3 linked regions of the Notamacropus eugenii genome follow. The protein of the gene in region 2 purifies or fractionates together with the protein of the main gene of each other region. This does not show direct contact. Links are inferred from orthologs where the notes say so. Each region holds a gene or a part of one and is shown on either strand. Other genes may lie near its edges.

The links.
Region 1: the proteins of CASK (region 2) and ARHGEF26 purify together in Homo sapiens (affinity purification with mass spectrometry; 3 studies listed by BioGRID and IntAct, with this or other methods). This does not show direct contact. The link is inferred for Notamacropus eugenii from reciprocal best matches to the Homo sapiens genes CASK and ARHGEF26.
Region 3: the proteins of CASK (region 2) and SNTB2 purify together in Homo sapiens (affinity purification with mass spectrometry; 3 studies listed by BioGRID and IntAct, with this or other methods). This does not show direct contact. The link is inferred for Notamacropus eugenii from reciprocal best matches to the Homo sapiens genes CASK and SNTB2.

Annotation. Positions count from the first base shown.
Region 1 is NC_092877.1:371,108,551-371,118,637, forward strand, and holds the start of ARHGEF26 (rho guanine nucleotide exchange factor 26), read right to left. Parts: upstream 4,344-10,087; 5' UTR 4,228-4,343; intron 3,829-4,227; 5' UTR 3,741-3,828; coding exon 2,640-3,740; intron 1-2,639. UniProt on the Homo sapiens protein: Activates RhoG GTPase by promoting the exchange of GDP by GTP. Required for the formation of membrane ruffles during macropinocytosis. Required for the formation of cup-like structures during trans-endothelial migration of leukocytes.
Region 2 is NC_092876.1:432,451,885-432,462,260, reverse strand, and holds the start of CASK (peripheral plasma membrane protein CASK), read right to left. Parts: upstream 4,433-10,376; 5' UTR 4,303-4,432; coding exon 4,244-4,302; intron 1-4,243. UniProt on the Homo sapiens protein: Multidomain scaffolding Mg(2+)-independent protein kinase that catalyzes the phosphotransfer from ATP to proteins such as NRXN1, and plays a role in synaptic transmembrane protein anchoring and ion channel trafficking.
Region 3 is NC_092872.1:708,564,891-708,574,721, reverse strand, and holds the start of SNTB2 (beta-2-syntrophin), read right to left. Parts: upstream 4,811-9,831; 5' UTR 4,800-4,810; coding exon 4,142-4,799; intron 1-4,141. UniProt on the Homo sapiens protein: Adapter protein that binds to and probably organizes the subcellular localization of a variety of membrane proteins. May link various receptors to the actin cytoskeleton and the dystrophin glycoprotein complex.

The sequences.
Region 1 (10,087 bases), on a different chromosome or scaffold from region 2:
TGTGCACTAAATACATGACATTTATATAGACAAGTTACAGTTCACTGATTAATCAAGAAAAGATGTGGCAGCCAAAAATGTTAGCTGGATACAAGCTAAAATAAGTTTCTGACCTACTGGAGAGATTTTTCTCATTTCTTGAGAAAGTGGATGCATGAACACATCTAATTTCCCTCTCTCCTTTCTTTCCCTTTTCTTTCCTTCCTCTCCTTCTTTCTCTCCTCCCTCCCTACTTCTCTCCCTATCTCCCTTCTTTCCTTTCCTCCCTTCCCTTCCTTTCTTTTCTTCTCTTCTTCCCTTTCCTCCTTCCTTCCCTCATTCTCTTCCCTCCCTTCCTTCCTCTCCTCCTTCTCTCCCTTCTTCCCTTCCTTCCTTCCCTTCCTTGCTCCTTCCCTCCATTCCTTCCCTCCTCTTCCTTCCCTCCATCCTTCCTTTCTTCCTTCCTTCCTTCCTTCCTTCCTTCCTTCCTTCCTTCCTTCCTTCCTTCCTTCCTTCCTTCCTTCCACCAAGATAGCAGTCATGGCTACATTTACTGACATTTAAAGAAATGGCTGACATTTACATGGACTTTTAAGTCTTGTGGAACATTTTACCTCCATTATCTCATAACAACCCTGGGAAGGCATTACAGGTTTTATTATTCTTATTTTATAGATGTGGAAAACTGAGCATCTGAGTTAAATGCCTTCCTATCGTCACATATATAAGTGTCAGAGATGAGATGAAATACAAGGAAAAGTCGAAGAAAACACAACAAATGTGACAGTGGTTACAGTCAGAGGATTTAGGATCCAGGAGAGACTATAACTTGTCATTACATTTTATTTGGGGGGAAAGAAGTGAATAATTTCTGAATGATAATTACTGACACTGAAAGCCACTGAAAAGCAGGCAGAAGGAAGTCACTACACACTTGAATTTGCATTTCACTAGGGGTGGGACTGTGAATACTACTTGGCACTGGTACCACGTCAGGAAAACTTTGCTGCTTTGCACATGGGCACACAGTCCCCCAACTTTCCAATGGCAAGGGCTGAGTGGTTCTGATCAATAAAACGCAGGGGTGTTTTAAGCTGTTACTAAGGACCAGGCACTGAGCCTACAAAATGAAAAGTCAAATAGTGCCTGCAGAACTTATATTCTATAGGAAGAGACAGCTTATATGTAAGTAGATATATAGAAAAGAAACAGACGTTAACTTTGTAGGATGGGGAGTGGAGGCAGCAGGGAGGAGGGATCAGGAAATACTTTTTGTAGGAAATGCTACGTGAAGTGAACTGAGCTTGGAAGGAAACTAGGTATTCTAAAAGACAGAGGTGAGGACAATGTATTTAAGGCAGTGTATCCTCTGAAATTCCTGCTCTCTAATTAAGAAATGTTCTTGCATTTTAGACTTCATTCTTTCATATTCCTTCCTTCTTCTGGCAGATATAGTTCTTATCCCCTCCCCCCAAGATACTGCTTCTCCTTGGCTGATTGCCATTCACCCCTCAACAAACCTCTACTCTGAATTAGTCCTTTTTTAGTGGAAGTCTTTCCTGGTCCCTCCGGTGGTGAGTATCTTCCCCTCTAAAAGGTATCATGTATATAACTATATATATATATTTACACACATATATGAAACAATATAAGTATATATATAGATAATATATGTATGTTATGTATACTGTATATATAATTATATATGTGTATATGGGCACGTGTGTGTGTGTGTGTGTGTGTGTGTGTGTGTACACACAAAAACTGTTTCCCTATTAGAATGGAAGCACTTTGAGAGGAGGTCCTGTTTCTGCATTCCTGTGCATCTGGAGATCCCTAACAGTGTCTGAAAAGCTTTTATTAAGCAGTAACTAAGTCCCACTAACTGTCCTGGGGGCATCAACATAGAGAAGAGGAAGGAAAAAGAAAACACAAATATGTAAAAATAAATGCTAGGAAATTGGGGGGAGGTAATTAGAAAAAGCCTTGGATAGCATGTGGTGCTAGAGCTGAGCTGTGAAGGAAACTCGGGAATTCTAAGGACAGAGGGGAGGACAACGTGTAGTCCAGGACTTGTGGCAGGTAAAGACAGAGACAGGAATGCCACATGCATAGAACCTCCAGAAGGCCAGTTCAGAGGAAGACTAGAGCCAGCCTGAGAAGGGTTTGAAATGCCAGAGAGGAGATTGTATTTGCTCCTAAAGGTAGGAGGGGCCACTAGAATTGATTGGGGGAAGGGTGAAATGGGCAAGCCTTTGCTGTGGGAATCCCACCCTGGCAGCTGGGAGAACGGAGCTCTGCAGATGATCTAACAAACAGAATTAGACATTAGTTTTTTCATTTCCTATTGCAAATATTTTGCCTGAAGTTACTCATTGAAAATTGTATGATCTCCTCTGGTGATGCCAGTCAGGACTGAAATGGTCATAAAGGTGTGTGGTTGGCTGTGGGGAGAGGTGGCAGGGCCCAGGGTGGTATATAATGGAAGCAAGCTCTCTGAATTAGGCCCCAAAGAGACTATCAGCTACTGACCAAGAAAAGATAATAGTCTTTTGCACTCCCCTCCAAACACACACACACACACACACACACACACACACACACACACACACACACAAACTCACTTTGGGTATGTGCCTGCTTCCTAATAATTTACTCACCTTAATCCTCCCTAAGCTAGAGATCTTCTCCTTGTCTTCTATGACCACTTTAAGACTTGGCTGGGACATTCTGTTTTTCTTCTTGGAGTTGGTGGGACTGTCAAAATCAAAGCCGCTAACAACAGCCCTGCGGTAGGAAGTCGACCTCAAGCCTCTCCGCAAGGACCCAGGACTGTCTAAGTCGCTTTCTGCTTCTCCTTCTCCATCACTTGCAGGAACCAGTGGGGCACTAATGGGGTCCACCATGCTTCGGACCTTAAAGACTCTCTTATGGGGCTCCGAGTTTTGACTGCTGGATTTGCTGATTTTAATCTCAGAGGCCAAGCCCTTGGGGATAATTTGTTGTTTCCCTACTTTGAGGGCAGCTGGGCTGTTGGTACTCAAAATGACCACAGGCTTTTCTGGGTTGGAAGGCAGACGCTGGGGAGACAGTTTTTGTTCAGGGGGAGCCCTCTGTGGGCAGGGCGAGAGTTTCAAAGGCGCCCTCTCTGGGTCCTTGGCAGTATGGCTGGGTGGTGATAGTGGGAGAGCAGGAGAATTGTTAAGAGAAGGCACAGATGCGCTGAGAGAAGACCCTGTTCTGACATTCGGTCCCATTAGTTCCTCGTCCGAGTTCCTTGGGACAGAAGCACTGGGAATCCTCAGGGGGTGCCCTGCTTGAGTCTCTGGGGATGCGACTGTACCTGGGTAGCTCACAGAAGGGTTGGCCACCATCCTATGGCCCCCGGGTGACTTTTCGGCCGGCACCCTCTGGGAGACAGCTCTGAAATCCAAAGAGAGAGCCTTCCCATTGGGCACAGACCCTCTAGTAGGGCACCACAGCACGGGGCTCCTTTGAAGCATCCTACGGTCTGGAGACGGAGATGGAGAAGGTGAAGCCGAAGAAATGCTCCCGCTGTGGGAAGGTTCCTTCCCAGTGAACATCCCTCTGTCCTCCACAGGGAAATCCGTGATCAGCAACCCTGTGGGGCTCTGGTAGGACTGGGGTCTGGGCTTGCTCCGGACCAGCCGCTGGGGCTGCGGGGTGGATCGCCTCCTCCATAAAGGGGTAATGTTGTTGGGACTCGAAAAGTCCACTTCGCTCTCGCCGCCACGGTCCATCGCGGACCCTAGTGGGAGCCCCGAAGGAGCGGGGAGACAGGGCCCAGGAGGGAGACACCGCAGCCGGGTCGGGCTGGGCTTTCGTCTCCTAAAGAGAAGGCAGAAGTCAGAGAGGTAGCCATCACACGAGGGCAGTCGACCAGCGCCCCCTGCCCCCACCCCTTCATCCGTGGGGGAGGGCAAGGGGAGGGCGGACTGCTTCACTTTACCGCCATCCCCGGGCGACCGCACAGGGGCTGGGGGCGGGGTGGGGGGCGAGTGGGGAAGCTGTTCCACAGGCTCCCCTTTCCCTCCTCCCAGCCTCTCCCCCATCCTTGAGCCTGGGGAGGGGGAGGGGGCGCCGAGGCTCCAGAGACCCACCCCAGGAGAGGATTTCTCATTTCCCGGGGAAACTCTCCCGTGGAGGAGCCCCCTTACTCACTAAAGGGGCGACCATCCCTCCGCCCCTTCTCCTTCAGAAACCCTTCGCAGGAGCGATCGCACCTACCCTCCAAGAGACTTCAGAGCCTAGAGCCCCGACGAACCCGTCTGCCGGGTGGGTGGCCCGGGTCCCGGACTGCAGCCCAGGCGTAGGCTGAGACGACGGCGGGAGCAAAGAGCCGCCCCAGAACCCTGGCCCGGCCCCAGTGCAGCGGGCCCGCCCTCGACCCGCCCCTGAGAGCAGGACCCCGCCCCAAACCCGCCCCTACCCCTGCCCCGCCTGTCCCGGACCCTGCCCGGAGGAAGGGGCTTCCATTCCAACCCGGGAACAAGTGAGCAGCTAGGATCGGGAAAGGGAGGGTGTGCCTGGGGCCCGGCCCTGCCGAAGGCAAGGACGCGGGGGAACAAAATCTGCGACCGCCTTTAGGGAGAGAGAAGTCGGGCGGAGACCCGCGGACAGTCCAGAGGAGGCGTGGGTGTGGCGCCCAGAGAGGGAAAGGGGTTTAAGCTGTGCCCGCTTGGGGTCCCCGAGATCCCCTGAAAGGGGTCCTGGGCAGAGCTGGCCTGAGGGTACGGGGGTGGGGGTGGGAGGAGGCCGGGAGAGGCGGAAGGAAAGACGGAGACACCCAGAGAGACTCGACAGAAAGAGACCTAGGCAGATAGAGACGGAGAGACCGACTCAGAGACAGCGAGAAACCGGGACTGACTTAGGAGACAGAGAGACATAGGAACTCCGAGAGATAGCGACGGAGATGGAGAAACAGAAAGGAGCCTTCGCGGATTCTGCACGGGAGCAGCTTGGTTTCACCAGAGATTGTTTGGCTGCCAGAAAAGAGCAAGATTTCTGAAACCTCAGCTCCCGGGTGGGCGGCCTGGGGAAACCGAGGCAGGCGAAGTCGACCAGGGATGGGTAGCCATCCCTCCCGGGCCTCAGAGCTGATGGCTTCCTGGATCTTCCATTCCAATCACAGGTGGACCGCTAGTCCAGCCCCCTGGTCTTATAGATGTGGAAACTGAGGCCCAGTTAGGGGAAGTGAACGGGTTGGGACCATCGGAATCCTGACTTAGAAGACCTCGGGGAAGAGAAAAGGCTTACTTCCAGAACGAGACTGGCGGCTTTACTGACCAAGAAGTGTGTGTGTGTGTGTGTGTGTGTGTGTGTGTGACAAAGATGGTGGTGGGCTTTTACTAGAGTTCGTAAGAAAGCTTTTTACCTGCCATTTTTAAATGCCTGCTCTTTGCCCAGAGTTGTAGTGCCAGGACTAATCGAAACATTTATATAGCTTCGGAATTGAAAGGGGCTTTCGTAATCCACCCTCTCCAACTCCCCATAAAATGTGCGTCGCCCAGTATGAGATACGAATCTTGAACTTGGGTTTTCAGATTTTAAGACCACTTCTCTTAATCTACATGTTTTTGTTTCTTTATGGTTTCATAACTATTTCATTATAGTCCATATCATTATAATCGTATGAATTATATGCATTTTAAAACATTCTGAGGAGAGACCCATTGGCTTCCCCAGCTTGCTAAAGGTGTCCAGTACACACACACACACACACACACACACACACACACACACACACACACACACACATCAAGGAAAGCTGATCTAAGGAGAAGGGGGCTGGGGTGGGGTGGGGGTGGGGAAAAGGCTCGGACGAGAGAAGAGGATTTCCAGATTTTCTCTCTAGTGAAGGCACAAAAATTCCAGTTTAACGTTCACAACTTTCACCTCCATGCCTCTCTCTTCCTCCCCGCACATATCCAATCAGTCGTCCACTCTCATAGATTCTACCTCACAGAATCTCTTGCACCTATCTGCCCCCTTCTGTCCACATATCTCATGATCCTAGCTCAAACTCTTTTTACTTTCACCTGGACCATTGAAATGGCCCTACTTGGCATCCTTACCTCAAATCTATCTCCTTTCCAGGGAATCTTCGAAACAAGTGCCAGCTTTATTTCTAAAACTCCTCTGCCCAGTACAATCCAGTGGATTCCTATTGCCTCCGGACATCAAATACTAACTCCTCTTTTTGCTCTTTAAATTCCTTATAGCCATCAACCTACCTTTCCATCTTCATAAATTCCCTCAATTCATTCATATTCTCTTCCATCCACCAAAATTTGTCTTTCTGCTGTTCCTCTTGTAATATGCTTCATTGGTGGTGCCAGTCTCTGTCCCTTTGCAGGTATTGTCCCCAAATCTGGAATTCACCCCGTCTTCACCCCTGCCTTAGAGAAACCCAAGTTTTCTTCAAAACTTAGTTCAAACATCTTGTCCAATAGAAAGCCTTTTCTAATCCCCCAGAAGATCGTGAATCCTTTCGTCAACCCACCAATGACCATTTCCTTGTGTGTGTGTGTGTGTGTGTGTGTGTGTGTGTGTGTGTGTGTAGTTATGTGCCCCTATGGACCTTAAGCTTCTTGTGGACAAGCCATTTCATTTTCTTTGTCTTTGTATCACCAGGAGCCAGAATAATGTTTGCTACAACAGAGGTGCTTAATAAGTGCCTTTTGACTACCACCAGTATTTATTCAGTGCTTATGCCCAAGGCACTGTGCTAAGAGTCACACCTAGAAAACCAACATCTGGAGGCCATCTAGAGGGTGCTAAAGAAGTAAGCGAAATGGGGAAGCGAGGTGTCAAAATAGCCCTGGAATCAGAAGGACCTGAATTCAAATATGGCCTTACATACTTACTAGCTATCTGTGTGACTTTGAGCAAGTCACTTAACTCTGACTGCTTGCAAATAAAAAGGTAAACGAAATGACAACATATCAATAGATCCAAGATACTTCTAGTGGTGTGCTGATAAATGTTAACTGATTCTCCAGTAGAAAAAAAGAATCATACATGCCACTCCTTTAAGTTTAATCTATATTACCAATTTTTTCGCCCTCATTTTCTTCAGTCTAGGAATCAGTAAAACAATAAATCAAGGCCTGATTTATATCGTTTGCCAGTTCCCAAGGTGTAAATGTTCACACTGGAAATTAACAAACTCTCATGATATGACTCCAGCCTACACTGGGCTTCCCTCATAAAGAGATAGAGTGATCATGTGGGGAGGTATGGAAAGAGAGGAAGACATTGGACAGTACCTTGCTGTGGTTAGATGTTTCACCATTTGTACATTTTCCACACCATCTTTGAGCCCCTTGGAACTTCTCTGAAGGCAGAATCTAGAACTGAAAGAGCCTTAGAGTTCATCTGGTCTAATCCCCTCAGGTTTTTTTGTTTTTGTTTTTGTTTTCTCCACCACAGATGAAGAAACAAGCCAAGAGAAGTTGAATAACTTGCTCAGGGTCACGCAGGTAGTAAGTGACAATGCTACTTCGTTGTGTAGCCTTTAGAGTGGGTCTTCCTTGCCTTACCCCAGACTCTCGCTTCCCATCTCTTATCCTACCTTCACATCCTCCCCATCATGGTTTGGAAACACTGACAGATAATGTGTGGTATGAGTGGAGGTAGATTCAGGCTTTGAAGAAACTGGCTAAAGATTTACACAAATGTTTATTTCCAGAAGATCCTTCTTTTATTTTTGGAAGAACAAATATATAAGATCAAACTTGACCACTTAGCATTGTTTCCCTCCCTGGAAAGGGGATGAGGGGGCTGGTTAAGGAAAGGTTAGGACTCAGTAGTTAGACACGAATGAGAAACATCATAACTAGGTATTATCAACTCATCTGAGATGGATAGCAGGTGGCTTTGCTTGTTCCCAGCAAAAATCAGAGGCAAACAAAGTTTGTTCACCAAAGTTATAGGGGTACCCATCAATTAGGAAATGACTGAATAAATTATGGTACATGTGCATATAGAATACTATTATGCTGGAAGTAGGGTAGCTGGGTGGTAGGGTGAATAGAGTGCCAGCTCTTGAGTTAGGAAGACCTGAATCAGACAGTTACTAGCTTTTTGATCCTAGACAAGTTCTTGATGTTCCTCAGTCTCAGTTTCCTCATCTGTAAAATGGGGATAATCTAATACTACCTTTTAAACCTACCCCCATAAGGTTTTTGTGAAGCTTAAATAAGGTGATACATGCAAAGCACTTTGCAAAATTCAAAGCACTACGTACACATTGATTGCAACTATAATTATGGGAGATGAAGTTGAGGTCTAGCAGCTTATCAGCCACAGAGCAAAAAATGAGAGAAAATGGCATTGTGAGGAACTGAGTCTGAATGTTCTAACTCTGGAACTAGTAGCACTTCATCTAGCGCATCGTGTAGCCCGTATGTCCACATCAGCCAAATGACGGGGCTAGACCAAACAGTTTCTGAGGTCTTTTCAAGTTCTAAAATTCTACGAGTCCACAGATGTCACACAGATGGAAATCTCACCTTGGAAAACTAATAGACATCCTGGCTTAGGGATCAAAGAATTCCAGCGCTATGGAGAACCTTGCCCTTCATTTTCAGAGAGGACCAATGACATCATGGCATGGTTTTTGACTTGTACATAAATTGCATTTAAATGAAGCAAAAGTGCACAAAGTCATCAGCCTCCCTTTCAACATCACCAAAATCTAGTGGTTAGACAAAAGTCAAGAGGACTGGTGATCGTCCAGGATGTCTACTCCTAACCCTAACCCTAACCTTGGTGTCTTCCATGCCTGACCAAGCTCTAAGCAGTCCACAATGCCTGCTTCAGCCACCTTCATGGCTATTGGAACAAATTGTTGGAGAACCTAAAATGGAAAACTTAGAGAAGCTCGGAATAAGGACTAGTGATGTGCATGGATGGGCGTTGCTTAGGGAATAGTGCTGTAATGATGTTGTGTTTCCTTGTCATTTTATTTGGATTGTTCTGAAACTTGATCAGTAAGTGAGAGAGCATGGAGTTATGAGTAGAGAGCCAGACTTATAAAGAGGAAGGTTCAAGTTATGTCTCTGACTGTGTGACCTTGAGCAAGTCACTGAATTTCTATGTGCACCCCAGAAACTCTAAGATTATTAGTTGCAGGGAAACTCCTAATCTGTACTGATGAAAACACAGGTTGAGATTGAATCCCCCCAAAGGAGGGAAATAGTTTAGGAAGCACTGAATATTTGAACCTCACAAAATCCTATGAAGTTTCTGTATATCCCCATTTAGCAGATGGGGAAACTGAGTCTGAGGAAAGTTAAATGCCTTGACTATGGTCATAGAGCTAGAAACTATCAAGGTAAAATTTGAACCCAGATCTTCATGGCTCCAAGTCCAGAATTCTAGGCACATCCTCATGAACCTCAACTGTTTTTATCTTTCTCTTTTTAAGTAGTGACAAAACCTAATTGCATCTTCATTGAAAAAAAAAAGGAAAAGTCTATGGACTTCTGTTTCCTGTTTCAGAGATTTGAAGAAATAATTTATTAATGGTCTGGCATTATCTTTGAGTAGCTAGTTAATGTTTTTCTTAGCAATAAAAAGAAATTCTGTTGCTTGCTCTCAGGTTTTTAGAGAAATCAGAAATTAGTGCCACAGAACACAATCCTCATTTATACTTTAAAGTTTTCTTCTGTTCAAGTCAGATGAATTTAAACACTAAGTAACAATATAGAATGTTTTTTCAAGATGTATTTTTAAACTTTGAAAAAAATCCATTTATTATTTGCCTTAAGCCTCAAAACAACCCTGTGAAGTTTGTGATCCAGCTATTATCCCCTCATATAGATAAGAAAACAGTGACTGGAATGGGAGGAGGACACGTTTAGTGAATCACCCCAGGTCATATATTCAGAAAACGTCAGAGGAGAGATTTGAAGTTGGTCCATTCTTACTCCATGTCTCATGCCTGCTGATTTGACACTTTGTCTCCCCCAATTTAGCTTTGAAACATCCCCACCTCCTCCACCAGAAAAAGCCAGTGATCACTTGGTTTTGCGTGTGTACACCTAGCTGGCCTTGCAACTGGCTAAAAAGATAATATTCTGAC
Region 2 (10,376 bases):
TTCATCTGCCAAAGTGATCTTAAAGCATACATCTGAACATGTCATTTCCATTTAATAAACTCCAGTGGTTCCCTATTACCTCCAAGATCAAACAGAAAATTCTGTTTGGCTTTTAAAACTCTTCTCAGCTTAGACCCTTTTTACACTTTATTTCAGTGCCCTGTATTCTACAATCTGGAACACTGGCCTAATTGCAGCTCCTGGAACATGACACTCCACCTTCCATACTCTGCACTTTCTAACTGGCTACTATACCCTACGGCTGAAACACTCTCCCCTTTCTCATCTCTGCCTCCTGGCTCCCTTCAAGACTCTTCTCAAATGCCACCTTCCGTAAGAAGCCGCCTTCTTGTTCTCTCTCTCTCCAACCCATAGCCCCAGTGCTTTCCCTGTGGGGTAAAGTTAGCTCCAATTTATCTCAAAAATACCTCCTAAGTGTGAGATGGTCTTACCTGGTCTTCCCTCATTACAATATGAGCTCCCTGAGGGCAGAACTCTTTTTGCCTTTTTTTGTAACCCTAGAACTTAGCAGAGTGCCTATCACTATCCAGGAAACCACAGAAGGTAAAATCCATGTCTTGGTTTTTTCAATTCAGCACTTACAATCAAAAAGCATTTTTTGTTTTCAGACAGTAACTCCCCCAAATATGAAGCATTACACAATAATATTAAGCTTTTAAAAATATTATCATCTACCTGAACAATAACATTTTTGTTACAACTTTATTGTTAACTTTGCTCTTGTTCTGCAATGTTGTCATTTCTGGGGGGCTGATGGGGGATGAAACAAGACTTAATATTTAAAAATTTGTTATTTTCACAAAATGCAATCATAGGTATACCATCAATAAGGGTGAAAATTATGTGTATTTTGTTGTTCCCCTTCCCTTAAAACAACTATAAACAAGGGAGTTTATGTCTTCGTTCCAACAATTATTTCAAATTTTCTTATGATATATATAATAGTATCCATTGCTTATTTTATATTAAGTTTGCACAAAGTACAATAAAATAATGTAAAAAATTTCTAATATCTTCAATTTAATTCCTTCCCTTACCAGCAACAACTATATTTTCTTAACCAGTAAATCTGCAAATGTTAAAGAATCACCATTATAATTTAATTCTTGTCTCTTCAAAGGTATTAACCAACAAAACATAATATTGGACTCTTAAAATTTAGAGAAATGTTTCAAATGTAAGTAATCTATAGAAAACAGAGGTATTTTCAAAATGTCCTGATGTAAGGATGTATTTCCCTCACAGATTAATTACTCAAAATAACTATAAAGGCCAAAATAAATTTGTCCTAGGAAATGTTTTCCAGTCTATCCCCATTCCAAAGTTACTGAAAAAGAACTTGCAAGCTAACATTTTTAGAAACTGTAAGAGGATAATCTCAACAGGAAACACTCAAACCCTCCTAAAACAAGCTCAAAGTATATCAAAATGTGTAACTTTCTTACTGCGCCTAACAGTGTGGTCTTGCACAAAATAAGATTAACTGATATTTGTTAAACAACCGAATAAATATAAAATTGTTTCCCTGTTGACTTGCCAAAGAGATTATTTCCTTCAAAGTACTTTCAGCAGGAACTTAAAGCCAGTTATGGCATAACTCAAAACACCTTATAAGACTAGTTGGAGAGAAACAAAAGTTGTAGACTGTCACAGTAGCTAGATAACAATATTGATGTGCTTTCAAGCCCCTTCTCTGTGAATTTCTTCAAGGTTTTTCAATCCACAGTTCAACACATCCCAGGAAAAAAAAAAATTACGTGCTTTCCAAGTGTCTACAGAAGGCAGTCCCTAAGCCAGTTTCAATAGATGCTGCAAGGATTTACTTATAACCCTCTCAAACTTTCCAAAGGTCAAGAATCACCATCACTACATTCTTTCCTCAAAATGCTGTCTTCAAAACACAGGAGAATTCACTAAAGGAATCAAAGAAAATAAATGGCGCTCTTGCAATACCAAGTCCAGATGAGATTTTTGTCTTCTATGGATTTCAATAAGATTTGACTCTTCAGAGGAATTAAGATAGATTCAAAACGTACCAGTTCAAAACTAGCTTTTCCTCTCAAGCCAGTCTAAAATTAACTGACCAGTTTGTTCAACTGTTCTGAAGCTTTCTTTGAGCTTGGAGGGAGGGGGAGGAAAAGCAGAAATAATCTCAAGTAATCAAAATACTGACTGCCAAAAATGACTCCATCATCTATTTTAAATAGACTCTAACCTAACTTGTATCATCAGTGATCACAGACTGTCTGAGCTGAAAAAGACCTTCTAGTTCAATTCTCATCCAAGAGATAAGGAAACTGAGGCTCAGAGTGGGAAGTGATTTGTCTACAGTCACACTTGTAGCAAGCAAAGCCAGATTTAGCCTTCTTTCCATTGCAACACATTCTAACTAAAAGAAAAGAAAATTAAGTTAGCAAAACTGGTTTCTGATCACTCTTTCCAATGGTAATACTACTATTTTATATTTTTTAATTTCTTGAATTTTCTATGTATACCTAAAATACTTTCATTCTGTTTTTAGTAAGATATCCTATTTTCTGAAATTGCTAAAGCTTCAAATAATTACCGCACCACAGTGTTAGGAGAACGTTAGGATATACTAGTTGGTTAAACAAGAACACGTAGGCATAGTAATCAATGAGTAAAATATGTAAGGTGTACTCACAATTTCATCATGTGGGAACTACAGTTTATTACAATATCTGAACCTCCCTTCTAAACCTATGCTCAACATTATCAGCATACCCACTTTTCATACTCAGGAATTAGTGAAACAGATAAAATACACATCTGCAAATCTACAACTTCAAGTACCCAACTTGGTAAAGGACACTGGGAACTGCAGGGGCAGAGTGAAGAGGTAAGTGCCACAAGTACTTGCTAGGGTTAAGAAATGGAGAGATTAGGAAAAAGTCATTTTTTTCTTCAATATTCTTCTTGATACTCTGAAGAGTTAGTATCATAGGATCACAGATCTAGAGCTGTCCATCTGAGAGTCTAGTCCTCTCATTTTACAGGTGAAGAAACTGAGGCTCACAAAGTTCAAGTGACTCGTCCAAGGTCACACAGATAGTCAGCTTCACAGGCAGGATTTCAAGCCCGCTCTAAGGTAGTTAGACTCAGTTCTTTCCCTGCAAAATGCCTTCGAGTTCAAGGTAGTTTCTCTAACAACGGATCTCAGACTTCATTCCCAGTTCTAGACCTTAGAAGACAATAAAGCATTCTCCCCCAAAAGCAATGAGCTAATAAGGACCCTTGTCAAACTCATCTGAGAGAGGCCAGTTTCACATCTTGCCATTCAAACTTCTAAATGTGCAAATTACATGCAGAACTAAAATAAAGCCAACCTCAAATCAACAGCATTTCATTCACAAATTCGTTAAACAGAATTGTGCATTTAAGATAGTCTATAAGGGGAACTATTAAAAAACGAATTTAAAGGATGGAAAAAAAACCCAAAGGAGTGACTGCAGATTTCACACTCCATCAGCACTGTTATTCATTGGATCCCCTGGCTTTTTCCTAGTGTCATTCCTCAACCAAGATAAAAAGGATGAGAACTTTGGCTGTCACTGTCGTATACTATACCAAACTAGTGACTCAAAGCATACATCTATCTTTCCCACGCCAAAACAACTATCCAAACTCCAGTTTGACAGAAGCAATGAACATTTGTTTGAATAATTGTTGCATAACGAGACATTAAAAACCCGAATCCGGTCTCCTTTGAACCTTAATCTAGGTAGACTTAAGCGGCCACCTCCAATAAGGTCCTGGGGTTGGACACAAAGGCGTATATCAAGTCCGGTGGATACACGCCCCATAAACCAAGCAACCGTCCACTTCGGCCCCCCAGCCCCAGCTCGCCCCCGACCCACTCAACAACCAACAAAGATGCCAGCCTCTCCTCGTGGCCTGAGTAGGTGAGGTGGTACCGATAACCCAAAGTGCTCCCGGAGAGCGACTACCAAGTCAGCTCTGCCAAGGCCATGTGCGGCAGCCGTCAGATACAATGTAAACAGCCCGAAATCACGCAGGGCTGTGGGGGAATGAAATGATCGGATCCCTCCGGGGAGGGAGGTGGCAGGGCCCCGCTCGGGCTCCGGGCTCAGGTACGCACGGGGATGACCCGAGGAGGCGGCGGGCGGGGCGGGCCAGGGGCGCCAGCGAACGCGTTTCTTCCCAGGCACGCTCCCCTCCCCCCAGGTAGGGGAGGACTTACTTGCCGATCACCTCGCACAGCTCGTACACATCCTCAAACAGCACGTCGTCGTCGGCCATGGTCCAGGGGGGGAATCAAACGGAGAGGGTGCCCAAGAAACAGTCACGCCGCCCACAGCAGTGTTTCTTTGCTTTTCTGTGGGTGCTTTTTGTTTTTCACCACCACCCTCCGCGGGCTCCCTTCTTCGCCCTCTCAGCCGGGAACGCTCGGTCCGGCACGACCTGCGGCGACGACGGCCAAGGAGGACTCTCGGGGGGATTGCAGCCAGCCGCCTCGTCCTCGTCCTCGTCCCTCCTGCTCGCCTCCAGGCCGGGGGACCGCCAGCAAGGATCCTCCGGCGGCGCGAGCGGCGGCGGCACAGCCCGGGCCGCGGGGCCGCCGCCTCCTTCCGGTCTCCCGGACCGACCGCCGCGGCAGCCCCTCCGCTCGTCCGCCTCTGCCCGGCCGCACCTTCCCCTGCGGCGTCCGCGGGCGGCGGCGCCTCCCAGCCCGCCCCGCTCTCTCCACCGCCTGGCGGCGGCGGTGGCTCCTCGGGCTAGCGGGGGGGCCGGGGAAGGACCATGAAGGACTCCGGCGGCGGGGGGGGGGGGGGCGGCGGTCACGGTTGGAGGCGGGGGCAAAGACGCCGCTCCCCCCCCCTCGTTCTCCTCTTCCTCCTCCTCCTCCTCCTCCTCTCGCCGCCGCGCCCGGGCTGTGTGAGCGAGCGAGCGCGCGCCGTGGGCGAGGGGAGGGGGCCGAGCCGGGGCGGGGTGCGATGGGGGAGGCGGCGGCCGCCGAGGCGCTCTCCCTTCTTCAGTCCCCGAGCCGGGCGAGGAGCCGCCGCCGCACGTCCCCTCCTGCGAGCTCCTCCGAGGCTCCTGGCGGATGACTCCCCCGCATACACACACACACGTACATACACACACGCCTCACCGCCTACTCGTACTCTCCTTCCCCCACCCCAGCCTCCCTCTCTCCTCTCCTCTCCCTGTCTCTCTCGGGCCGCTGCAGCGGCAACAGCGGCCGCGGCTTCCAGAACCCCAGGCCCCGCCCCCTTTTTTCCTCCCTCACCGCCCCCCCTCCAGGAGGCGGTGGCGGCGGGAGAGTAAAGGGGAGTAGGATGGGAGTGCACGGCGCATGCGCGCGCCGGTGAAACGTCACGGCGAACGGGAACGAGGGAAAATGAGGCGGAGAAGGGATGGAAAGGGATGGGGAGAAAGGCGGGGCGCGGTGAAGGGGGAAGGGTGCAGTTGCCTGGGGGGGCGCTCCTGCAACGACGGCGGGGTGGGGAGTGGGGGGTGAAGGGGAGGAGGATCTGTAGGTGCGTGTGCAGGTTGGGAGGGAAGAAGGCTGGCTTCCCTGCGTCGCCCGAGAGAAGTGGCACGGCGTGCAGCCGCCTGCGTGAAGGTGGCAGTGCTGTGGGCTGCAGAGAAGCTCCGTGCCCCCTCTGCTCCCCGGGGAGCGGGACCGCGCTCCAGCTTCGTCCTTAGTGAATGGGAAAGGAAGGCTCCTCCGTGACGGTTTCAGGCCCATCCCGTCATTCTTTACTGAAGTGAAGGGGGTGGGGAAGGCGGACTCGTGTCCAACCATATGGAGGAGGACGCTAGAAGGCTAGCGGGTAGCTGTAGACAAAGGTATGCCACATAGATTGTGCATGCCACCCATGCGACTCCTTCCAGCGGAACAATTGTGTTAGCCATTTAAAGGGGGAAACCACTTAGGTTTGGGGTGTTCGTCCTAGCGCAGTTTTGAGTTTTGATAGCTTTTGCAACACGCTGTATTTCCCCCGTGATCCTGGGTGTGCTGACAAACACTGGTCATAGTGTGCTTTGCCCTCGGATCAAAGCAGGGAAGTGTGGGAATTTTTTTTTTTTTTTACTTTCCCATTTTCTTGTCCTTCTAACCCTAACAAGCTAACCCAACACGGCCACCACGAACCAGGAAGAAAATGCAGCCTAAGGAATTGCAGACAAGGTGCAGTGAGTATCCTGAACTCTTAGCGTGAGGCAGCCTGGAAATTCTGCTTCCCTGAACACGTGCAGAATGTGCAAAACATCCTTCAAACAGACCTCCCCTCCCCCCTCCATTCAGCGTTCAAAGAAAAAGTGCCCAAGCAGTTCTTAAGTGACAAGCGCTACAAAGTATCTAGTAAAATTCTCTAGTGTAATAAAGTAACAGCTACAGTATTCGCTAAAGAGAAATACATAGTTTCTTTTCAAATGTTGCTTGTGCATTGTGCATGTACTTGAACCCTCTCTCAAGAAACAGAGCTCTCCCTCCTCCTTTCTTCCCCAAACCTGCTCCATTAAGAATCCTGGCCGTAAGCGTTCATCTTACGCATCTCAGAAGACTCCAATAATATTAGCAAGTGCAACTTTTTCCTAGAAGAGCAATAGTTTTGCTTCAATTCAGAGTCCAGTAGTCCCTGGAAAGCAACCAAAAGTTGCATAGATGATATTCTGTGCTATTGCTGAGATCTCCAAAGTGGAGGGATGTAGAACGACTCCAAGGATGCCCCCATTGCCAGCTAATGACTTTTCTCCACAATTGGCCCGCCGCTTTCAATATTTCTCTACCCCTTCCCCAATCCTAACTCCCACCTTTGGTCTCCAGTTTTTCTACCTCAAGCTTGGGCTCTTCAGAAAGGTTATTACCTAAGCTGACCAAGGCACCCTATACTGCTTGCAAGGAATACTCCTATCCTCTGTCCCAATCCCATCATTGCAAGGGGTGAACCTGTGCTGTCAGCTAATGTATGATGAGTAAGACATTCCACTTTTCATTTTTCGGTAAACAAGAGGGAGTAGTTCAGAACAGTCATGGGTAGGTTGTGTTTATATTACCTTTGCCCAAAAATTCACCCGTCTTCCAAACACCTGTTTTTGTGAATGGCAGCACCATCATTTCAGTCTCCCAGGGTTTCAGCTATTCATTATCCCTGCCTACTCACAACTAAAACCGTTCTTTTCTAAGTTATCTACAATCTCTTCTAACAAACAAACAAACAAAAAAACCCCTCATGACCATCTTTATGCAAATACATCTCGGAGTCTCTCTTCCAGGTAGAGTTAGAAGAAATATAGTGTTGTGTACACAGCATAAAGTAAAATACTTAAACTAATTGACAAAAACAAGCCTTACAACTTTTTACATCTTAAAATTTTTTATTATGCAATATGTCCTGTCGCATTTCACATGATTTGGCATTGAGTTCACAGAATTTTGACAAGTAAAATGTAATTCTTGATCAAGAACCCATCCTTATACAATTGAAATTTAAGTGTACCATTGACAAATATTTGATTTTTTCCAAGTCTATTATATAAATTTCCATAAATTTCCAATGGAATGTAAATCAGATGAGTTTCCAGATCACTGAAGGATGATTATCTCCAATTCTTGGATAAATTTCTTAATTGTTTTTCTGATGGGTGACATGATGAAAGATCATATTGTAGGATTCCATTTCCATTTGGGAATTTCTGTAATTATGGAACAATTCTACTCAATAAATATACATATATGTGTATGTGTGTATATATACATATATGTATATATACATATACCTACATAGGTAGATAGAAATATAGAGTGTGTGCGTATATGTATACAAGAATTCATCATTCCCTCAGTGGAGACAAGACTTCCAGTACCTTTGGAATTAAAAAATACTCAAACATTTATTGGCTTACTCAGACTTCTGATAAGTTTTGATAAAGCCTTGAATGAAAAATGAAGTTCATCAATAAAAATCACCTTTTCCTAATCTTCCTCCCAATGACGATATTGTCTTGCCCATGACAAAAAGTTTTTTCAGCAGTTTTCTTTTTTTTTTATCTGATCTTCCTGTTCTTTCAACTGCAATAAGCCTAGGAACTGTAGAGGGATCAATAAGCAGTCCCTCCAACTGCAAGTTTCCCCCAAAACTCTTTACTTGTTCTTCTGAGAATTAGGCTGTCCCAAACCAATATTTTGTCCAGTATTGACCTTGTTTTTCATTTTCACCTGTACTCACCTCTGTGTTTCAGCAAGATTGACCCTGTTTCATTGAGGGTTGGAATGGTCTGCCTGTAGATGCCCTCTGTTTCTCACTTTTTCTGAAACTCAGCTGTTGCCATTGCCAGGTGGAGGATATTCAGGACTGGCAATAGAGCACAATGACTCTACCCTGGGATATGTTCATGGAGATGTATACATTCCAGAGGTAGTTCAGTAAATGGGGTAAGGGGGCTGGATTCATTTGCAGGCTGTCCAGGAGATTCAGAAAAGGTGGGTTTGGGGTTCCATAGTCGCAGGCTGAGCGCCAAGCATAGACTAGGCTGAGGCTGCAGTAGACCCGAAAGGAATGGGACAGGAATTGTAGAATTGCTCTGTCTTCTGCTGCTGACTGATTCAAAGAGACCAGGGTAATTTCATCTCAGGCCCCTGGAACTATCTTTCAGAACTATCTGTTGTTGAAGCCCCATGTCACTGGAAAGGGTTAATGCTTAAAAATGACTGGGGCAGCAAAACTGCCTAGAGCCCAATGGCCAGGGGAACAAACAGGTTGACTATCAGCCTAGCCTGAATTTTCTGCCTGTCTCTTTTATCTTCACCTTCAAAACTCCACAGCAGTCCTGTGCTTCCACTTGTTGTACAAATCAAATAATAAGACCAAAGTCAGAGGTCTAATTGCAAATTTCAGGCTCAAGATTTGAACTCAAGTCTTCTCAACTCCAAGACACAGTGGATAGAGCACTAGATTTCTAGTTAGATCTGAGTTCAGATTCTTTCAGTTACTTACTAAGCTGTGTGCCCTATGGTAAATCATTTAAGCTCTCTCAATCTGTTTCCTCATATCCAAAAAAGACATTTTTCTTATTACACTTTTTATTGAAATGTCTTTTAAAAAGTGATATGTTCCTGAATTAGATTCAACAGATATTTATTAGGAATCCAGTAAGTACAAGGAAGATTTCTACAAAGTACTATAATCAGATCAAAAATCAATAACTTATGGTCAGAATCATTTTTAATTCTTAGGCCCCTGTCATAGCACCTCTTCCTTCCAAACTGCCATTATCTTGTCTCACCTACTCTGTATACAGCTTGTATCTACATATTTATATGTTGACCCCTTTAGCATTAGCACATGAGATTCTTTTGGACAGGGACAGTATTTTTGCCATTCTTTGCATAAGGGGTGTGGTACTCATGTATATGTCTTCATAGATTATCTAAATGAAATGCATAGAGGAATTAATAAATATCTCTGGAATCATCCACCCATTTCAAAGAAAAACTGCAATTCCTACCTTGAAGGACCAAAAGATTGGTCATTTTCTGAGAAGAGTACTGGTCTAGAATTAAATCTCTCTTCCCCAAAATATTGCTGATTCAGGGACATGATTTTTATGTGCAGAACAACCACAACAAAAAGCTTGGGCTTTTTTGATCATTTCATAGTATGTTTGTTTGCTATTTCTATTATTAATCTTCCCATTTTTTCAAGATTTCTTTTTTTGTGCTTGATTGAAGTTTGCTAATTTTTCAGTTTTCTAGTTTATTAAATTACTCACTCAGCTCATTAATTCTTTTTCACTTTTTAAAAATGTTTTTGGAGATATAATTTTTCCTCAGAAGACTGATTTAACTACATCTCAGAAACTATCATTTTCTCTTATCACTATCATTCCTTTTTATATAGTTACTGTTTCTATGATTTCTCCCCCCCCGCCCTTGGCCTACTCTTTACTCTGGTTATTGTTACTTAGTTTCCATTTATGTTGTAACTTTTGATTGTGTTACATGTATTTGTTGATATCTTATTGTCTTATAGATGTGTGTAATAATTTTGCCTTTTAACATTTATGATTTTAAAAAATTTTTAAACAATTTTATTTAAAGTTTTGAGTTCCAAAATCTATCATTCCTTCCTTCCCTCTTTTCCTCCCTTCCCAATTCTCTGAGATGGTAAACAATCAGATATAGGTTATACCTATGCAGTTATATAAAATATTTCCATATTAATCATTTTATACAAGAAGACTCAAAGAAAAAGTGAAAGTGAAAAATAGCATGCTTCGATCTGTATTTAATTGATATCATTTCTTTCTCTGGAGGCAGATAGTATATTTCATCATTAGTCCTTTGGGATTGTCTTCGATCATTGTAT
Region 3 (9,831 bases), on a different chromosome or scaffold from region 2:
CCTTTGCCAGAGTTATCTCTAACTTCTAGTTTATTGGCTAGTCTCTTCCCTCTTTCTCTTTTTGCTCCTACAATTCTCCTGTCTAGAATGCTCTCCTGACTCACCTCTGGTCCTATTCATCATAACCTCTTTGAGAACTGGCTCCACATTCATCTCTCTCAAGCAGCCTTCCTTGAACCCTCAAACTCCTATGTTCATACTATAGATTATTTTTCCTTCAGTACCTGTATCTACAATTGGCACAAAATGATCCTGTATTTTTTTGCCCTTAGAGAAAAAGAATACAAATACATAAAATACCAACTAGATTATAAGCAAATATTTTACTTCTTTTTCGTTGGCCATAGTACAACACTGTACACAAAGTACAAAGCTGGTACCTAAGAAATGCTGAATGACTTGAATGAAATCAGTAAGTGAAATAAAAATAAGCTCAACTCAAGTGTCAGTCTCTACATGAGGCCTTCCTTGACACCCAATCCCAGTTGCTAGTGCCACACCTCCAAAATTATTCTGTGTTTAAATATCAGACATAGGGTAGAAACTTTTTTTCCCTCTGAATCTCCAGTATCTAGTACAGTGTATGTATTCAATAGGTGCCTAATAAATGTTGGTTGACTCAATTAATAAAAAGATAAAATCAAACATTTCTAAATAAGGTGATTTGCTTCATTAAAATCATTATTACAATCACTTCTACACACTCCCCCCTTTCCTTGGAAGTAGAGGTTCTTAGCCTTTTCTGTGTCAAGGACTCCTTTGGCAGTCTGGTGAAATCTATGGATTTCTTTGTAGAATGTTTTTAAATGCATAAAATAAAAAATATAAGATTATGGAGAAAATTAATTATGTTAGAATAAAGATGTATTTTTTCCCATCCAAGTTCACAAAACTATTAAACTCTACCCACGGACCCCTTAAAGATCCCTACTTAAAGAATCATTCCATTTCTTCCTTGTTTTCCAAGCATGCCAGATTTTTTTTTCAGTCTAGTCCTGATTTCATCAGTGTTGGGAGGTCCAGGTATGGAAATTCTCTCCACCTACACAAATCTGCAATTTATCTGTAACAAATCTTGGACCTCTGAGAAGTTAAGCAACTTGTTCTTGATCATACAGCTAGTTTGTGTGAGAAGAATGATTTAAACCCAGGTCTTCCTCACTCCAAGGCAGGCCTTCTATTTTCGGTGCATGCAGCTTCTGAATTCCAGATAAAATTTATCACCCTATTACTGTATGAAAGACAATCTCAGTATCAGAAGGCCATTTAATCTAATTTATAACTGAATCAGGATACTCTCCACTTTAAGGCCACTAGTGAAAGGAAATCTACATTCCAGGTCCACTTTGGACAATTAGAATTATCAGGAAGTATTCCTTTAGAAAGGGCCTAAATAGTCTGTCCTACTCACTTTTCTTTGTTTTGCCTTCTGAGGATAAATAGATACAGTCTAATTCTTCGTCCATATGAGAGACCTTCAAATAATTACAAAGATATCCTACCATCTTTTTTTTCCCCAAAAAGATCCTCAGAAGGTAAGCTCTCAAGATCCCTGACCTTACTGGGGGCATTCCTCTGGTTCCTCTCTGGTTTGTCAACAAATATGGTCTTTCCTAAAATGTGGTACCCGGAGTATCACAATACTCTAAATGACATCTGAGCAGAACAGGATAGTCAGACTCCCACTTCTGGACGCTACACTTCCCTTGATATAGTAAGCCACATACAATGTTGTACTGCTGACTCATTTTGAACTTCTTAGCCTTACTTTCACAACTTTTATGCAGTCTACTACAATCATTTCATTACATCAACACTATGTTTATATGACACTGTGGATCAAATATAAATTAATAATCAACGTATGTAAATAATAAGGATAAGACATATGTGATTTCATTGTGACTAACTTCCTCTACTAGAGTCGGTCAGCACCTTCTTGGCAATTTTCCTGTCTTAAAAGAGGTGCCTGGAGCACCAAGAAGTTAAGTCACATTGCTCAGGGTCAGAGTCTCTGTGTCAAAGGTTAGATTTGAACTCAGGTTTTCCAGGTTTGGGGGGCCAGCTCTCTATCCACTAGTATAAGCAGCCTGTCATAAGTAATAAGTACAGTTAATAAAGTATAATTTTGAACTTTCCAGTCTACTATTGTATTTCGTTTTTCTACCTGAAGTTTCTAGTTTTAAAAGTCTTTTAAAAAATCAAGCCTGAGACTGGCACCAGACTTTCGTAAACTAAACAAAAGGGGCAAAACTCTTATCTTGGCAATAACCTTCAAGTTCAGTGTGCCTTCATTGTAAAGTAAGGCTCATTAACTAAACAAACTTGCCTTTTCAGTCTCGTACCTTTCAAGGAAACGCTAAGATCTAGTTGGGTTATTGTTGAGAGTCAATGATGAGTTAAATTCCCATAAATTAATCAGCATTTTGGTGGTATGCCCAAATCTACAGCAGACGTGCATTTTTTAAAAACCCATCTAGGGAAGAGAGAAGTAAGAAAAGAAGGCGGCGGCGGTCTTGTACTTCTCCAGTTAAATCCAAAAGGTGTCATACAGGGGAGAATGCCAAGCCTTAACAAATAATGAAAAAGTATCCCATGGAAACACTTAGAAGTTCCCATCTTGCCCCAAATAAATCTGAATTTTCAGGGCTATAAAGCATTTCGGCTGTGGCTGAACTTTTCCAACTAGAGTCATCAGGGTTTTCCAAAATGCCAAGCTGGTGACCAGAAACCTACTTTACTAGGAAGAAAGGGTGCGTGAGTTCCAGGGGAGACGAGCAAAACCAAGTCCTGGACATTGTAGGCAGAGCTGGTCGAAGCCACGCGCTGCTCGGCCGTCGGCTCCCTCCAGTCCCCCCACTCACTGTCCTGCAGGACCTTGGCAGCGCGGCTTCCCCTAGTCCTTCTCCAAAGCCCGTGTTCACCCCCCACCCCCACCCCGTGCCCCCTCTCCAGCAGCACCTCCTTTTAGAGCACGATTCCCCCCGTTCTGTGCTTGCCAACCTTGGCCCGCACCCTCCAGCAGCACCCCTGGTCCCCTCTCTCCAACAGCACCTCCTTTTTCAGCAGGGCTCCCCCCCACGCCCGTCCTACCCCGTGCTCGCCTCCCCTGGCCCCCACCCTCCAGCAGCACCCCCGGTCCCCCTCTTCAGCAGCACCTCTTTTTTCAGCACTCTCCCCCCGTCCCGTCCCGCGCTCGCCTCCCCGGGCCCCCGCTCCAGCAGCACCCCCGGTCCGCTCTCTTCGCCCCAGCCCGGCCCCGCTCACCCTCCAGCAGCACCTCCTTTTTCAGCACGGCTGCCCCCGTCCCGTCCCCGCCTCCCCCGGCCCCCACCCTCCAGCAGCACCCCCGGCCCCCCTCTTCAGCAGCACCTCCTTTAGCAGCGCGGCTCCCCCCGTCCCGTCCCGCGCTCGCCTCCCCGGGCCCCCGCTCCAGCAGCACCCCCGGTCCGCTCTCTTCGCCCCAGCCCGGCCCCGCTCACCCTCCAGCAGCACCTCCTTTTTCAGAACGGCTGCCCCCGTCCCGTCCCCGCCTCCCCCGGCCCCCACCCTCCAGCAGCACCCCCGGCCCCCCTCTTCAGCAGCACCTCCTTTTTCAGCACTCTCCCCCCGTCCCGTCCCGCGCTCGCCTCCCCCGGCCCCCACCCTCTAGCAGCACCTCCTTTTTCAGCGCGGCTCCCCCCGTCCCGTCCCCGCCTCCCCCGGGCCCCCGCTCCAGCAGCACCCCCGGTCCGCTCTCTTCGCCCCAGCCCGGCCCCGCTCACCCTCCAGCAGCACCTCCTTTTTCAGCACGGCTGCCCCCGTCCCGTCCCCGCCTCCCCCGGCCCCCACCCTCCAGCAGCACCCCCGGCCCCCCTCTTCAGCAGCACCTCCTTTTTCAGCACTCTCCCCCCGTCCCGTCCCGCGCTCGCCTCCCCCGGCCCCCACCCTCTAGCAGCACCTCCTTTTTCAGCACGGCTCCCCCCGTCCTGTCCCCGCCTCCCCCGGGCCCCCGCTCCAGCAGCACCCCCGGTCCCCCTCTTCAGCAGCACCTCCTTTTTCAGCACTCTCCCCCCGTCCCGTCCCGCGCTCGCCTCCCCCGGGCCCCCGCTCCAGCAGCACCCCCGGTCCGCTCTCTTCGCCCCAGCCCGGCCCCGCTCACCCTCCAGCAGCACCTCCTTGCCGGCCCGCTTCAGCGCCTGCACGGCCTGGTCATGGGTGGCCTGGCGCAGGTCGGTGCCGTTCACCGACAGGATGGCGTCGCCCAGCCGCAGCGCCCGGCTCTGGTCGGCCGCCAGCCCGGGGAAGATCTTGGAGATGAGGATGGGCATCCGGTTCTCGCGGCCGCCCTTGATGCTGATGCCCAGGCCGCCCGCCTCCTGCTTCACCACCCGCACGCGCCGCACGGGCGGGGAGCCCCCGGCCGCGGCCGCTGCCGTGGCCCCGGGAGGGCTGGGCGGGCCCAGGCCGCGGCTCGGGCTGCCGGGCAGGGAGTCCCCGCCGCCCCCGCCGTTGGGGAGGCCGTTGAAGGCGGCCAGCACCGGCCCCAGCGGAGGGTCCGTCTCGGCCGCCGCGTCCCCGGTCAGGCTCAGGCTCTCGCCGCTCAGCTCGGCCACCACCCGCACCCAGCGCTCCCGCAGCAGCAGCTCCACCAGCCCCGCTTTGGTGGCCCTGGTCCACACCGCCATGGCCGGCCCGGGTCCCGCCGCCGCCACAGCCGCCGCCGCCACCGCCGAGGCCAGGTTCCTTCCCAGCCGGGAGTCCCGGCGCTTCCCCCTTCCCGCCTGCGGGGGCGAGGCCCCGCCCCCGGGCCCGACCATGTATTATTCATGAGAGGCCCCGCCCACTCCTCCGTTTACCGCGGGGGCGGGGCCGCTTCCGGGAAGGAGGGGGAGAGACTGGTTCTGGCCAGCCCGGGGGGAGCTTAAGGTGCCGGGATCTCCCAGCACAAGGTCACTGCTGGGAGGGCTCTTCGAGCCGAGAAAGTCCGGCCGGGATGGCTTAGAACACAGAACGCCAGGGCTGGGAGGGAACGTAGAGCATGGACTGTCAGACCCAGGAAGGGAGCTTAGATAGAACACAGAACACCAGGGCTGGAAGGGAACGTAGAGCATGGACTGTCAGACCCAGGAAGGGAGCTTAGATAGAACACAGAACACCAGGGCTGGAAGGGAACGTAGAGCATGGACTGTCAGACCCAGGAAGGGAGCTTAGGGCTGGAAGGGAACTTACTTAGAGCATGGACTGTCAGACCCAGGAAGGGAGCTTAGGGCTGGAAGGGAACTTACTTAGAGCATGGACTGTCAGACCCAGGAAGGGAGCTTAGGGCTGGAAGGGAACTTACTTAGAGCATGGACTGTCAGACCCAGGAAGGAAGCTTAGATAGAACACAGAATGTCAGGGCTGGGAGGGAACTGAGAACATGGAATGTTAGAGCTGGGAGGGGCCTTAGAAAATAGAGCCCAGAGCTGAACCAACCCTCAGAACACAGAATGTCAGGACTGAGAGGGACCTTAGAATTGAGAGTGTCAGAGCAGAGCTGGCAGAGACTTTGTTTTGACCCCTGCAGTAACAGAAGGGGAAGCCAAGCTGCACCCAGGGCACCACTTAGAACATTCTGAAGCCAGCGTTCCAGACTCCAGATTCAGGGTTCTGCTATTCTTTATGGAAACAGAATAACTGCTTTGGGCTCTAGCTGTCTCCTTAGCCCTCAACCACAAAAAAATTTGATCTGTTTCTGCCAGATGTCTTAATAAATGCAACTGGGGAAAATTAAAATTCCTTCTGGTAATTTCTTTATTAGCCTGTGAAATTGGGTTGCATGGGCCCCACGTCCAGCAGCTTCTTTCTGAGCTCAAACAGCTCAAAGGGTTTGGTCTACAAAAGAATTGTCAGCAGCCGGATTGTCAGAGTGGCCTCCAGCACCAGAGAGGAGGTTCACACATTTCCCACAGATCCTAAGGGCTCAATAAATAATTCTTGTAAAGCTGAATTGAGATCAAAACAGGCTCTGTTCATGGAGCCTGTCCATAAAGTACATGCTGACACCTGTAAACTCCAAAGGATCCATGTGCTCTTGGAAGATGGAAGATTCTGTGACTTTTTTTGTCTGCTTAGGGAACTCCAGGGGTCTGAATTCCCTCCACCAATACGGAACCCTCCAGGGACTTAAGTAGAATTAAGTAGAGTTGTCAGAAGAACAGGGACTCAATGATATGACCAGGGTTTCACAGACTTTAAGAGAGCAAATGTGAACCTAACATCTTCATAACTCCAACGCCCCTCATAAATCCCCATTAAGTTCCTCAAGGGTAGGTTTTTTTATTTTGTCTTTTGAGTCTAGCACCTAAACACAGTGCCTTACAGATAGAATGTGTTTTGAATGAATAATACTTGATATTTGTAGGGAAAGCATGCTCTAGTGGATACAAGACTGCCCTCAAAACCAAGAGGACCTGAATTCAAGTGCTACTTCTGAAGCATACAGACCATAACCCTCCCCCCTACTCCTCATTTAATCATTCAGTGCTCTACGCAACTTTCAAAGACAGTTAAATTGCAGAAAACTTGCTTTGGTAGAGGGAATTTCCACACCTGGGAATTCCCCAAACCAATTAACTCACAAATCCAGTTCCCTTTTACCAAGGATACATTTCTTATTTGACCCTTATAACATCTATAAGGTAGATGCTTCAGGTTACTATCTTCATTTCATAGATAAATGAATGTATTTACTTATAAAAATATTTCTAGATATGAGTTTTCTAGATAAATGAGTTCAGAAAGGCTAAATGACCATATGGGGATCACATATCTAAAGTGAGTTGGAGTTAGAATTTGAAATGCATGTGGTCACTTCTAACAACAAGTCTTCATCCTCATGATGGTAGAGGGTAGAGACTGAATCCAAACAGTCTCAGAGGGAGGAGGATGGGAAATAAGCCCAATAAGCATTTATTAAGCACCTATGATGTGCTTTGCTAAGCACTTTACAAATACTCTCATTTGATCTTCACAGTAACCCAGAGAGGTAGGTGCTATGATTATCCCCATTTTGTTGTTGAGGAAACTAAGGCAAACAAAGGTTAAGTGACTTGCCCACTGTCATATTACTGTTAAATGTCTGAGGCCAGATTTTAACTCAGGTATCCCTGATTCCAGATCCAGTGCTCTATCCTGTATACCTCTTACCTCCTTCTCAAAGTCTTAGAGTTAGTTTTTTTAAAAATCTAGTCAGAGATTTATCAATCCCATTAAGATATAATTCCGACCTTACTAAAAATCATTAAAATAGGATTTGTTTTGCAATAAGGCAGGATTTTCCAAGTTGTAAATTTCATCAAAGCTAAAAAAAGCAGACCTCCCCCTAAATCCACTGCAAAGAGACCTCCTGGATCTGCAACAGGTCCAGATATGCCCTGTCGTCCTGCACAGCCTGGAAACACACACATACAACATGCACGTACGCACGCACGCACGCACGTACCAGGCCCATTAGGATAACTACAAAGTAATTTGATGATCAGAAGGGCAAATTATATAAAATTGAGATGTAGAGGGAAAAATGTTAGAATTTGGATGGTATGGGATGCTTCTTCTCTTTTTAAAAAATCTCTGGTAGACTTCCCCATGAAGTTTTAGTTTTGAAGTTTTGCCATATCAGCAAACACTTTAGCTTTGCACTCAATATCCTTCCTAATTTGAACCCAGCCTTCCCTTTCGGCCTATTCTACCCACCATTTCCTTAAATGAACCTGCTAAACTGGTTTATTCATTGTCCCTTTAAATATGCCTTTACTATTCTCTGCCTCCGAGTCCCTTCCAAAATATTTGTCTTCCTCTTGTGTCCCTAGAAATTCTATCCAACCTTAAAGGTTTGGTTTAAATTCTACTGAATCCATTAACTGACCTGGACTGGTAGAACTTGAAAGGACCTTAAATCTAAGTTATATCACTTGGAAAATGAGTCCTCCACTTCCTCTTCCAGGAGGACTATAAAAGTCTTATTGGAGTTGGTGTGAGAATTAGCACAAGAATTCAGGCTTCAGCTGGGAGGCTAATGGGTTTTTCCAACATTATAACAGCTAGCCCCAGCTGAAATCCATCTTTCCTCTGACCGCCAAGAACATTGAATTCTAGGAACATTTAGGAATCACCTAGCAGGTTGAAGAGAAGACAAAGGAAGAGCCCATCAGTCAATGCCGTCAATGAGCATTCACTTCTTGTCTCTATCACTTATTTCACAGTTGTCATTTATTAGCTTTGCTGATTACCCCAGCTTGTGTTTCTACTCAAATTGGAATCTCATTTCTCATCTGGCTGCACTCAGCTAGGATTTCTCTGACTTTCTACCATGCCTCAGGGACCTCATCATTGGGAAGATTCATCATTCTGCAAGATCATATCAACCTTGATATTCACATCCCATCACTACCTTCTGCTTAGGACATACATGTCTCATTTTCCACCTGGCTGCATGACTTCAGGATTTCTGGCTTTTCCATTTCACCATCTCTCAACTTTTCAGATTCATTTTGCATGTTTTCTACCTTTAGACTGTTATGCCCTTAAGGGACTGGAACGGTTTTTTTTTTTTAATTTGTATCCCCAGTGCTTGGCACATAGTTTAAAAAAATGTTTATTGACTATTGACTAAATTGTTCCAGTACCTTTTGTTTAAATCTCCCCTTGGGAATCTAATGGGTTATTTACCATAATACTGATTTTTTTTTTTTATTGTATAACCATGCATCTCACTTGGTATTTTGCTCATCTCTATACCCATCAGAGATCCTCAGGTGAACTGAAAATTCCTGAGGGAATTTTTTATCTTTAATAATATAAGAATAATAAATATCATTCATATAAGACAACATACTGTTACTGGTACAAACTTGTGAGTAGGTAGTATTATTATCCCAATTTTACAGAATAGGACACTGAGGTTCAGAGAGTAAGTAACCTAGAAGTAATAGTATTAACAATAATGAGGACAATAGCTAGAATTTATAAAGTGTCTGTTATGTGCCAGGCACTGTGCTAAGTATTTTACAAATATCTCATTTGCTCCTCACAACACCCCTGGGAGGTAGGTTCTGTTATAATCCCCATTTTTCAGTTGAGGAAACTGAGGCAAACAGGGTTAAGTAACTTGCCCAGGGTCACACAGAGTAAGTAAGGTGGACTTTAGCGTGTGTAAGGTGGATTTTTGTTATTCTTCTTAGAGTTCAGTTCCTCAGGATCCATGGACAAAATCTCTATTTCCCAGGCTCATGCTTTGCACTCAGTGTCTCAAGGTAAACATCTCCACCACACTTGTGCAGCGTTACATAATGATAAATAATATAGACATTTGTGCTTAAAACTGAAAATACCCACTGCAACTGCACAATGAGATATAATGTAAAATTGTGAGGCTGTTGTCAGCAATATGCCTTCTTTGTCTGTTGCCCTATAAAGCAGGTGGGCACTGATCAGTAAGTGGGGAATCTGTATTTGCCTCAACAGGCCCCCACTGAGGCTTGCGGGGATTTAAGGGAGTGCACAAGTTATGCCTGTCTTGACTGACTCCATCAAGAGAGATGTAGAGGTAGCTGCCCCTCCTTCACTCTGGTCTTTGTGAGAAGGGTGTAGAGCCAAGGAAATATTCATAGCATCTATGGGGGCTGTGAATATGCTGGCATAATTCTGAATTGCAAAATATAACAGACAGTAGAAAGCCAAATCCATCATAGCAACAAAGAAATCTATACACAATAATACAAGGGGCACTACTATCCCCAAGCCTTCCCCCTGCTAGGACTTTCCCACAAATGAACAACTCACATCTTGCTGCCTGCTTCCTCTCTCTCC